Stegostoma tigrinum: one gene and its partners. The protein of the gene in region 3 purifies or fractionates together with the protein of the main gene of each other region. This does not show direct contact. Links are inferred from orthologs where the notes say so. Each region holds a gene or a part of one and is shown on either strand. Other genes may lie near its edges. The genes, in order: rpp30, ribonuclease P protein subunit p25-like protein and rpp40.

Region 1 (3,751 bases), on a different chromosome or scaffold from region 3:
TGATCTAGGGAGAACTGGACATCAAAAGACTTTTTTGTTGCATTCTTTCACAGGACATGTGGGATGGCAGTAGTCCCAGCATTTGCAGTGGAGTCGGTGGTATTTTCAATCATTGCAGTCCTTCTGGTGAGGGTGCACCCAGTGTTGTTAGGGATTTTAGCCCTGTAACAGTGAAGCAGCAGTGATGTAGTTCCAAGTCAGGATGGTGTATAACTCGCATGAAAACTTGCAGGTTGCATTCTGATAATTCTACTGCCTTCGCTGTCGTCCTTTATATGGTATGCATCGCTACCACTGCACCCTAGTGGATGGGGTTGACTATTCAAATTGGCTGATAAGTAAATAGGCTGTTTTTTTTCCTGCATAGTAGGCATGCTTCTTGAATGTAGTTGGAACTGGGTTTATCCAGGCCAGCAGACAGCATTTCAGCAGAGTCCTCAGCAGTGTCTTGCAGATTGCCACTAGGCTTTGGGAAGTCAGGAAGTAGGTTACTCACTGCAGGAATCCCTATTTTCCAACTTTCTCTTTCAGCCATCCATATTAGTTATATGTCTGATCCAGCTGAATTTCTGGTCAATGGATGTTGATGCTGGGAGTTCTAACAATGGTATCATCATTGAATGTCATGGAGACACAATTGGATTCTTCTGTTTGAAAAAGTTGATACCTGGCACTTATGTTGCTTGCCACTCATCAGCCAGGCCCAAATGTTATCCACACTTAGCTGCAGATGGCATCAGGGAGCAGGACAAAAAAATGCAAGAAGTGGGACCAATAAGGAATATGAGAAATTGGTGCATAAGCAGTTGCAAGAAGAAAGAGAGATGCAAAGTGCAAAGCCTCCAGTACCAATCAGGCATGAGCTTTCATGCCACAATGATTATAAACTTAAGAAAATCCATAGTCATCGCAAAGACTACAGTCTGATATGGGAGCATATTACTGGAATGTTTGTGACTAAAGGATTCAATCAACTTACTGGATCACATCAATGGTAAAAAACACCAAAAGAATGTGGGGACATCAATAAAGGTTGAATGCTCTACTCTGGACCAAGTAAAGAAATGTTTTGGGACTAATTAAAAAAAAAGAACTGATTCAGTATATGAGAAGTCAAAGATGGTAATGAATCTCCAATCAAGAAACATCCCTATTCTGAACTCATATTGGTGAAGCATCTGAAAATAATTGGGTTTAGGTCTCTGCACATAGCAGTCAGGGGTCTTCTGGTGCAGTGGTAGTATCTCTACCTTGGACCAGGAGGCCTGGGTTCAAGTTCCACCGGTTTTAGAGGTGTGCAATAACTCCTTTGAAAAGGTTGATTAGAAAATTCGGTTTATTAATACTCTTAGGAACAGTTAGGGATCTGGTGGCACAGTGGAAGCGCTCCTACTGTGGGGCAAGGATGCCTAAGTGGAAGCCCCACCTGCTTCGGAATATGTCTGAACAGGTGATTTTCCAATTTCTACCCCGAGGAAATCCCACAGCAATCTCCCAGGACTGAGATGGCTGGCCTAGAAACACTTCAATCATTTCTGTTAATAAAATGTGAGGCTGGATGACCACAACAGGCCCAGCAGCATCTCAGGAGCACAAAAGCTGACGTTTCGGGCCTAGACCTGATGAAGGGTCTAGGCCCGAAACGTCAGCTTTTGTGCTCCTGAGATGCTGCTGGGCCTGCTGTGTTCATCCAGCCTCACATTTTATTATCTTGGATTCTCCAGCATCTGCAGTTCCCATTATCACTGAATCGTTTGTGTTAGACATGTCTTGAAATAGTAGAGTTTTCGTTCTGATTCGCATTGACTCTGATTTTGCTGTGTCTGAAGAACAGCGCTGTGTACGAAATTTGATAATGACAATAATTTCCAGGTTGGGAATCACCATTAAAACTAAATCCTACGCAGTTCATTCAATGCGGTTTGTCAGTCGCCCGAAAAGAATAAAATAATTATTTCACATGACAAGAGAACATTTAAAAAACATTAATTAAATCCACTCTCAGACATTCAAAGAGTGAAACTGTAACGTGCTTTAAGACATTGCAACGTGATTTAAGAAGAAACAACACTCACGGTGTGCCGCTGTTTCTATTAGACTTTGCAATCTCTTTCTGTCCGTAGTGTTGACGATGTTTAAATCTACAAAAGGCGCCATGCTTTCACAACGTGAGGGGAAACGTTTGCTCTTCCTGGGCTGGAAAGGTCAATGTTTTCGCCCGCAGCACTTCGCCTAAAGGCACCGTCTACTGTCGATCCCACTTTAAATCAAAGACAAACTCGAAAAAGAACAGAAAATGCTGGCAAAGCTCGGTTATGCTGTGCAACATCTGTGAAGAGACAGAAACAGAGTTCAAGGTTCTGGACGGCGACCTTGCGTCAAAGCAAAGTCATGCTGAACTGGATCGTCATACTATGATTCCCAGGCTCATATCCGCATCCCATCCGATTAGCATCCTTACAAATAAGGACACAAAGCATTTTCTCCTCATCTTATCACCTTACCACGATCTTCCAAGAACCACACGACCGCTGCGCAGCTGCACTACCCACTACCCGTGATGCTCCGGGAAGCTGGCAGCTCGCTATTGGTGGGATTTAAAAACCAGAGCGCGCGGCAGGAACGTTAGTTGGGAGCGCGCGGCAGGCAAGCGGCTATTGGAGCCACTAGGTTCAATCTGTGATTTATAACTGAGTTCTGGCGGTCAGTGTTTGTCTGTATGACAGCGATCACAACTAAGTTCTGGTGATCTACATATGTGCATGTGAAAGGGATCATAGTCCCAGCCCTGATGCTTTTGTCTGTCGAAGAGAGAACATAACTGAGTGCTAGTGGTCGATATACGAAAATTAGGCCGGTCACTTCGTACCTGGTCTGTGCTCGCTCCTGAACAAGTGCCAGTCTGCATCAGAGGGTTCCGGTCTTCATAGACCAGGTAAGTCCGCTGTTGGTGTTCTCCCGTCCCGGTGAACAGAGTGCACTCTGCTCTGTCCATGGACACTGACGAATTTAAGACATAATAGCGTTCTACTCTGAACTCTTCTAGTAAACTGGCAAAGTTGTTGATTAGGGTGGACCTAAAGGATTTTGTGAATCGGACAAGATCCGGAAGATGTCCGTGCACTTGTCTAATGTTACATTCTCGACCAACATCGTTGAAAACCTTTTGATATACATTTGAAGGGGGTGACTTCCCACAACTCGTGCGAGTGTTCCGGAGACTATTCTCTCCATTCCGTACATTGGTCTGGTCCTTTCTCCCTTTGGTGTTTTATCAAGCTTTCCTCTAAAGGGCATCACTGCTCGTTGCATGGACTTTTTGTGGTGGCAAGTTCTACGTTTCCAGCATCCTGTCGGTGAAATGTTTTGGAGATCTGAAGTGAAGAGGAAGTCTTGAGTAATGTCAGTGACCCTACGATTGTGACAAGTAATCGGACAAATCCAACTGTGAAAATTAGAGTAATCTCCCAGCTGTCCATTGAAGGAGTGATCATTAGGAGAAACTGAACGGACTGATTACATTTATTAAACGCTTCTTCCATGAATCTGTGAGAAATTTGGCCATCAAGAGATATAGCTGAGAGGATAATCACAGCCTATGAGAAAATGGCTGATGCCAACCACTCAATATTTTTTCAACTTGACAATGGTCTTCAACTTTGTAAATTGTCAGGTATTCCAGAAGATTCTGCTGAAGTATAGTTGTCTTCCAAAAAAATTGCTTGCCTCATGACAATACGACTGGTGATTT
Region 2 (3,751 bases), on a different chromosome or scaffold from region 3:
TGTTACAGATGCTCTGACACATCCTCAAGAGGTTGTCAAACATGAGCAAGGATGAGGGGGAGATTGTGGTCTAGGAGAGGAACACTACAGCTGCACCACAACAGGACCCCTCATGGCAAAGTGATCTTTTTTTCAATCTGTTCAGAGATGGTCTGACATACCCTCTAGAGCTGGTGGGACTCCAATAAGGATGGGGGAGGGGAGGGCACTGGTCTATGAGCAGGAACATTACCGCTGTACCACAACAGGTCCGCTCATGATGAGGTGATCTTTTTCCGACCTGTTCAGAGATGGTCTGACACACCCTCTGGAGCTGGTGGAACTCCAACAAGGATGGGGCTGGGGGTGGGTGGTGTTCACTGGTCTAGGACCAGGAACACTACCGCTGCACCACAACAGGACCCCTCATGGTGAAGTGACTTTTTAAAATATGAACCTGATCAGAGACGTTATATCACACACTCCCGGTGTAGGGGCAAGGGGCACTATCACTTGTGCCAGCGGTCTGTGTGTTACTGCTGGGGGTTCGGGAGGTAAGTGTAGCCGGGGAAAGAAGCGCCCTCACTGGCCTCTTCCCCTTTGCTGAGCTTCGGGACCGTCTCGCCCCCGCAGCAGCCGCCGCTACTGTCGCTCCCCCGGGAGCGGCGCTTGATGCCCCGGTTGACCGGGGTGAGACCTCGCTCCTCTTGCCCCGTTCGGACACCAGCGGCCGGCTCCGGCCACAGCGGCGGTCCGCAGTCCGGAGGCTGGTAGCCGGCTTCGGCCGGGTCCAAGGGCTCCTTGGATAGCAGGATGCAGACGGACGGAACGGTCTTGAGCAGGGTGAGGGCACCCGCACTGCCGGCGGTGCTGCTCTGCCAGGTCTCCCGCAGGCTCCTCGGACGGAGCTTGGTGATCTGGTGCAAACCTCCCAGCCTCCGCTTCATTATCTCGGCGCAGGTGATAGTCTTGGTGACCGCCCGGCCCGAACCGCTGAATACTATCCTCCGCGTCCCCTCCAGCTCCATGCGGGCCAGCGCGAAGCCCATCAGGTTGCGGATCTTGCTGCCCTCCTTCACCCGCATCTCCACCGTGTCCGCCGGCAGGTCAGCGAAAGGCAGGGGGCTCTCCTCCTCCGTCCGCCCGATCTTCCGATAGTTTGCCATCTCGCCACTTGCAGCGGAGCCCTGCATCTCTCTTTTGCAAATGTACTCTTAGACCATGCACCAACCCCCTGCCATTACCACTCACACCAAATTCCCAAAGTGTCTGACTTGGTTTTCTGGTTTGGAGTCAGGAAAACCATCCAAGTCCTTTAATTTTGTCCTCTTCGTTTGCAAAAAATACGCAAAATCTTTTCTCTGCTCTTCCTTTGCAAGAAAATTATTTTCGTCGTTTTCCTTTTGCAAAACTGGGCAAAGTCATTTTATTTTCCTCCTGTGCAAAGGCTGACAGTTTTTTTTCGTCGCTGTTTTGCAAAACTAGGCAAGGTTTTTCTTTGCTTTCCTCATTTGCAAAAACTGAAAGACTTTTTCAGTCGTTGATGTTTTGCAAAACTGCAAGATTGTCCCTTTGCAAAACTGGCCAAAATCCTACTATTTTCCTTCCTGTGCAAAAGCTGACAACTTGTTTTGTCGGTGTTTTGCAAAACTGGACTCGTTTGTTTTATTTTCCTCCGTTAGCAAAACTGAACAAAGTCCTTCTCTTTTCCTTCCTGTGCAGAAAACTGACAAGACTTTTTTTTGTCGTTGTTTTGCAAAACTGGGCAAAGTTGTTAATTCATTCCTTCGCAAAGATGGACTGTCTTTTTCTGTTCCTTTGCAAAACGGTGCAAAGGTCGCTTTCTAAACAAAAACTGGCAGCTTCTTTTTGCCGTTGGTTTGCAAAAAAACTGGCCAACGTTTTTTTTAAAGCAACGAACAATTTGGGCGAGATTAGTTTCACTCCATCATGCTCCAGGATAGGGGGGCAGCAACGGATTCAAACAGTCATGCAAGCTCCCTAATGTTTGTGTTTTGTACTTTGCGTCAGCTCCATCCATCAAGCTGCGGCCATCACTTACTTCCCGTTCTCCCCGCGACCCTCGGCTGCTCGTTCCTCAGCGAAATCTCCTCCCTCGACAGCCGGCCTGAGAGTAATCCAGGATGGGGCAATGCCTCCCCATTTCCAACGCGTCTTGTGTTTTAACCACTTTCAATTGCAAGGCGCGGTTAAGAATGGGGCGGGGGGGGGGGGGGGGACCGTTTCTCTCCTGATGCCAAGGCAAAACTGTTTGCAGCATCTGTACTGAACAGGGTGCAATCTCTCTCCCTCACTGTCCCTGTGACGAGATCCTGATTCACGGCGAATGAATGTCATTTATTTAACCCCTTCTGCACCAAGCTCCTCTCTGCGGCGTTTGCCTCATTCTATCTGCAGCACTTTGCGGTCCCAAGCAGTGACTGACAAGTATCTACCCGACAGGAGAAGGCTGTTCTGCCCCTTGACTGTGTGCTAGCTGAGTAAAAAATAAATCCCTCCCAGCAGAATTCCTTTTTTTTTCAAATTAGGGTTTCTGCCGCTATCACCCTTTCAGACAAGAGAGTTCCCTACCGCTCTCTGGGTGAAAAACGTACTGGAATGTAGGATGCTGAGGGGTTTATAAAATCAGGATGGGGTGAATAGCCAAGGTTTTTCCTCCAGGATTGGGGAGTTCAAAACTAGAGGGGCATAGGTTTAAGGTGACAGGGGAAAGATTTAAAAGGGACCCAAGGGGTGACTTTTTCACATAGAGGGTCGTGCATATATGGCATGAACTGCCCGAGGAAGTGATAGAGGCGGGTACAATAATAACATTTAAATAAAGATTGGACAGGTACATGAATAGGCAAGGTATTGAGGGATTATGGGCCGATGGGACTAGTTTATTTTGGGAAAACTGGTCAGCATGGACATGTTGGACCAAAGGGTCCCTTTCCGGTGCTGTATGACTCTAAGACTGTGTACTCATCAACTCCTCTCCGTCCTTCTTCCAATTACTTTAACCTGTGGATATTATTCATGGACACTATATTATGTGTGTTTTCAACATACTGAATGGATATCATGTGATATACATAGTAGATCATCCTCCTTCATCCTGACTTAGAAATATATCACTGCTCCTTCACTATTACTGAGTCAAAATCTTCCTAACAGCATAGTGGTGTGAAAGCAACACACCACCGTCTTCTGGAAGGCAGTTAGGGATAGGCAATAATGCTGGACCAGCTAGATCCACAAAGAACTAAAACAAAAACAGCAATGACAAGTAAATGGAATGGAGGTACAAAAGGCAACCCATTAAGCAGAATGTTAAATGCACAACATGGCCAATATTGAAATACGGCCACAATAAAACCTGAAAGAACTGCAGTAAATCAGAAACAAAAACAGAAGTTGCTGGAAAGGCTCAGCAGGTCTGGCAGCGTCTGTGGAGAGAAGTCAGAGTTAACGTTTCAGGTTGAGTGACCCTTTCTCAGTTCTGAACTATATGGGCTTTCCTTCACTATTACTGGGTCAAAAGCCTAATCAATATGGACAGTAGTAGATCGAGGAAGTGGCAGCTGAAATATAGAGGACACTTGCCTCAGAGAACAAGCTAGGAGGGCTGTTACACAGCTCTCACCAAAGAATGGACTCCCCTATTGTTTCCATCTATCCATAGAAGCATTTACAGGCTCATACCTGACCTGTTTGATCATTAGATACCCATTGACTATGGCCCCCAGGCCCTGGGGTGGAACTTGAACTG
Region 3 (3,751 bases):
GAGTTGGACTGACGGTTTCTGTGCTGTACATCTCTCTGACTCTATTCAGATGATTCAATAGAATCCCTACAGTACAGAAACAGGACATTCAGCCCAACACATCCATACCACTCCTCTAAACAGCATTCCAACCAGACCCATCACCCTGTAACCCCCCTGATTTTGCACATCCCTGAACGCTATGGGCAATTTAGCATGGCCAACCCACCTAGCCTGCACATCTTTGGACTGTGGGCATTTGGAGGAAACCCACGCAGACACAGGGAGAATGTGCAAACTCCACACAGACAGTCGCCTGAGGCTGGAATCAAACCCGGGACCCTGGTGCTGTGAGGCAGCAGTGCCAAACATTGAGCCATCGTGCCACCCCGTGATTGTGACTGTGTTTGTTACTGGAATTTTTTGATGCTGTGGAAGCTCAGTCTTTGACTATGGTTAAGGTAGAGATTGATAGATTTCTAACTACCAGGGGTGCGAAGGATTTTGAGAATAGTCTGTGGGTGAAAGGCAGACAAGTGTTTGAATTGTATTAAATGCTGGAGCACGCCCGTTTCTAACTGAAGATTCATCCCCAGGACATGGCTGTGGGCAATCTTTTCACGGGCACCTCTGTTTACGAGTCAGAAAAACATTGGTGGTGGGAAACAAATGGCTCTTTGTCCTGACAGTCGAGAATTATTCGACTGGGTAGTGAAGAGAAAGGGGGAGGCCTGGAGGATGGAGCAGTTAGCTGACAGAATAGATTGATCCTTGGGGAATACATTTGACTAAAATTGGCCAATTACCTCGGTACCTTGTCCTGATTGCTACCAATAACCATGCTGGAAAATGAATGGGTTCTAAACTGTTTAAGAAAAACAGGGCTCAGCCCATTGATCATGAAAAGGTTCAATTCTTACTTTGGGAATGCGAGTGTTGACTTGAGACAGGCCCTGAACATTCAAACGCGGCTCTTCTTCCACCTTGGCCTCCAACCAGCAGAGGGTGCACTCTGCCCTCCTCTCCAGAGGCGCCAAAGGGAGCGCCAGAGCTCGCGGACGACGGGAAGAAGCGGAGAGGTTCTGAGTGGGGAAAGTCGTTAACTGGCGCGTGGAGCTGTTGCCGAGGGGAGAAGCGGTAAACGGCCCTCGCGGACGGCGCGAGGAGCTGTGGCCCAGTTTGGGAAGATGCTGCACAACGTGGAGAAATGCGCGCGGCACCTAGTGGTTAGTGAAAGATCCAACTTCAGGCACAGTAAATCAAAACACCATAAACACGTGCAGGCTCATCACTATAACTACCAGGTGGGTGATTGACAGGGGCAGGAAAACTTTATGACTACCTGGTGGGAGATTGACAGTGGGCGGAGGCTAATCGTCATGCTTCTTTGATGGGTGATTGACAGGGGGCGGAGATTAATCGCCATGTTTATCTGATGGGTGATTGACAGGGGGTGGAGTCTGATCGCCATGACTACCAGGTGGGTAATTGACAGGGAGCGGAGAACTCATTACTTTCCCTTTTATTCTAACGGAACATCGGTGCTAGGTCCACTTCTGCTTATCATTTATATAAATCATTTAGATGACAATATAGAAAGCACGGCTAGTAAGCTGCAGATGAAACCAAGATTGGTGGTATAGTCGACACTGAAGAAGGCTGTCTAAAATTACAAAGAGATCTTGATCAGTTCATTCGATGGGCAGAAGAGTGTCAAATGGGGTTTAATTTGGATAACTGCATGTATTGTATTTTGGTAAAACAAACAAACACAAAACTTATACAATTAAAATAGGAGATAACACGGTGTGAAGCTGGATGAACACAGCAGGCCAAGCAGCCCTAGAGGAACAGGAAAACTTGACGTTTTGGTTGGGAAACTGCTTCAGAAATGTTTCGGACAGAGTACAGTAGCTTCTTTAAGGAAGGCATCCTTAGAAGAGGTTTCGCAGCAGGGTTAAAATTGTTACAGAGATAGTAGGAACTGCTGATCCTGGAGAATCTGAGATAACATGGTGTGAAGCTGCATGAACACAGCAGGCCAAGCAGCATCAGAGGAGCAGGAAAGTTTGAAGTTTCGGGTCGGGACCCTCTTCATTTCTGATTGCATTCATTGCTTAGATCTGTGAGTATAGGAGTTGTGATGTTATGTTGAGGTTGTACAGGATGTTGGCGAAGGCTCTTCTAGAGTACTGTGTTCAGTTCAGGTCTCCCTGTTATAGGAAGGATATTATTAAGCTGGAAAGTGTTCGAAAGAGATTTACCAGAATGTTGCTGAGAATGGAGGGTTTGAGTTGTAAGGAGAGGCTGGATACATTTCTCACTGGGGCATAGAAGGTTGAGAGGTGACATTTAAAGAGTTTTATAAGATCATGAAGGGAGTAGATAAGGTGAATAGCAGGTGTCTTTTCTGTAGGGTGGGCGGTTTCAGGACTAGGGGCACATTCTTAAGGTGAGAGGAGAAGGATTTAAAAAAGACATGAGGGGCAATTTTGTTTCACAGAGAGTGGTTCGTGTGTTGAATGAACTTCCGAGGAGATTGTGGATGTGGGTATAGTTACGATTAAGAAATATTTAGATAAATATGTGAATAAGAAATGCTTGGAGAGATATGGGCCAAGTGCAGGCAAGTGGGACTAGTTTAGTTGGGATTATAGTCGGCATGGACTAAAGGGTCTGTTTCAGTGCTGTATAACTCTATAACTTTAAGTCTATAACTGCCCACGTCTGTGTTTGACAGGGGTACAGTTAATAAATCTTCAGCTAAATGGTAGAAAAAATGGAGGTGCCCATTGTGTTTTAGTTAGTTACCAACAATGCTTCACTTGGATTGTCTCCTGTATGGTTTCGTGATTATTTTAAACCTTTTTATGTAGGAAAGAGTCCAGGTTGTCTGGACCAATGAAGCTCCAAAGAAATATCTTTGACCCGAAATAGAAACTCTCTTTCTCTCTTTTCTGTTAGTGCCATAATATTGAAGGCTGAAACAGCAACAAGTGAATTTGTATTTATATACCACCTTTTTAACAGAATGGAACAGTACAAGAAATGGGCAATCAGGGCTGGAATGCTTGTGCTGTTTTACTATTTCAGAACCACTTCCGTCAGCAGTTAAATTCACTGTAAACGAAAATGGCATTGTGTTTGTGCATTTTTTCATGTTTGTGTGTGTTTTTGATGTTCAGAAATGACAAATGTTAAAGGTAGCAATTGAATAGTAAGTGCCCCCAGTGGGAATTACTTAGCAACATCATTAGAAGCTCCAAGTAACACCTGTTCAATGGGGTTCAATGTTGTAATGCATTTGCTAAGTTGGCTGCATTGAGTGTCTTGCTTTTACAGTCAACGATTTTGATATGAAAGCAATGGCAAACCTTGTGTAACTTTTTTTAGGGTTTTATTTGTTTTAGAGATGAATATCTTCAACAAGCTATAATGGTTGATGGCCAACTGTTGTAGTTTTTAAAAGGTAAAGATGCCATAGTCCAAATGGATGAGAGGGCTGCTGTGTCGTTAGAGAGAGATGACTGGTGGTGGTTTAACCTGGGGGTCACCACACCTGAGATGGGCCGAAGAGGTTGAAAAAGAGAGTCCTTTGTGGTAAGCTCAGCTGGCTAGCTGGCTGATTTGCGATGCAGAATTACACAATACATGTTCAGTTACCACATTGGCTGAGGTTACCACTTGATCGTGCCTTCTTAGCCTTGCACCTCACCTGAAGCATGGTGACCCTAAGGTTAAACTCACCATCAGTCATTCTCTCTAATGAGAA

The links.
Region 1: the proteins of rpp40 (region 3) and rpp30 purify together in Homo sapiens (affinity purification with mass spectrometry; 3 studies listed by BioGRID and IntAct, counting the BioPlex papers as one, with this or other methods). This does not show direct contact. The link is inferred for Stegostoma tigrinum from reciprocal best matches to the Homo sapiens genes RPP40 and RPP30.
Region 2: the proteins of rpp40 (region 3) and ribonuclease P protein subunit p25-like protein purify together in Homo sapiens (affinity purification with mass spectrometry; 3 studies listed by BioGRID and IntAct, counting the BioPlex papers as one, with this or other methods). This does not show direct contact. The link is inferred for Stegostoma tigrinum from reciprocal best matches to the Homo sapiens genes RPP40 and RPP25.

The regions. Positions count from the first base shown.
Region 1 is NC_081373.1:44,335,207-44,338,957, forward strand, and holds the start of rpp30 (ribonuclease P protein subunit p30), read right to left. Parts: upstream 2,563-3,751; 5' UTR 2,505-2,562; exon of another isoform or gene 2,330-2,504; 5' UTR 2,158-2,329; coding exon 2,076-2,157; intron 1-2,075. UniProt on the Homo sapiens protein: Component of ribonuclease P, a ribonucleoprotein complex that generates mature tRNA molecules by cleaving their 5'-ends. Also a component of the MRP ribonuclease complex, which cleaves pre-rRNA sequences.
Region 2 is NC_081389.1:16,614,073-16,617,823, forward strand, and holds the start of ribonuclease P protein subunit p25-like protein, read right to left. Parts: upstream 2,196-3,751; 5' UTR 1,173-2,195; coding exon 513-1,172; 3' UTR 1-512. UniProt on the Homo sapiens protein: Component of ribonuclease P, a ribonucleoprotein complex that generates mature tRNA molecules by cleaving their 5'-ends. Also a component of the MRP ribonuclease complex, which cleaves pre-rRNA sequences.
Region 3 is NC_081355.1:11,664,486-11,668,236, forward strand, and holds the start of rpp40 (ribonuclease P protein subunit p40), read left to right. Parts: upstream 1-1,012; 5' UTR 1,013-1,166; coding exon 1,167-1,283; intron 1,284-3,751. UniProt on the Homo sapiens protein: Component of ribonuclease P, a ribonucleoprotein complex that generates mature tRNA molecules by cleaving their 5'-ends. Also a component of the MRP ribonuclease complex, which cleaves pre-rRNA sequences.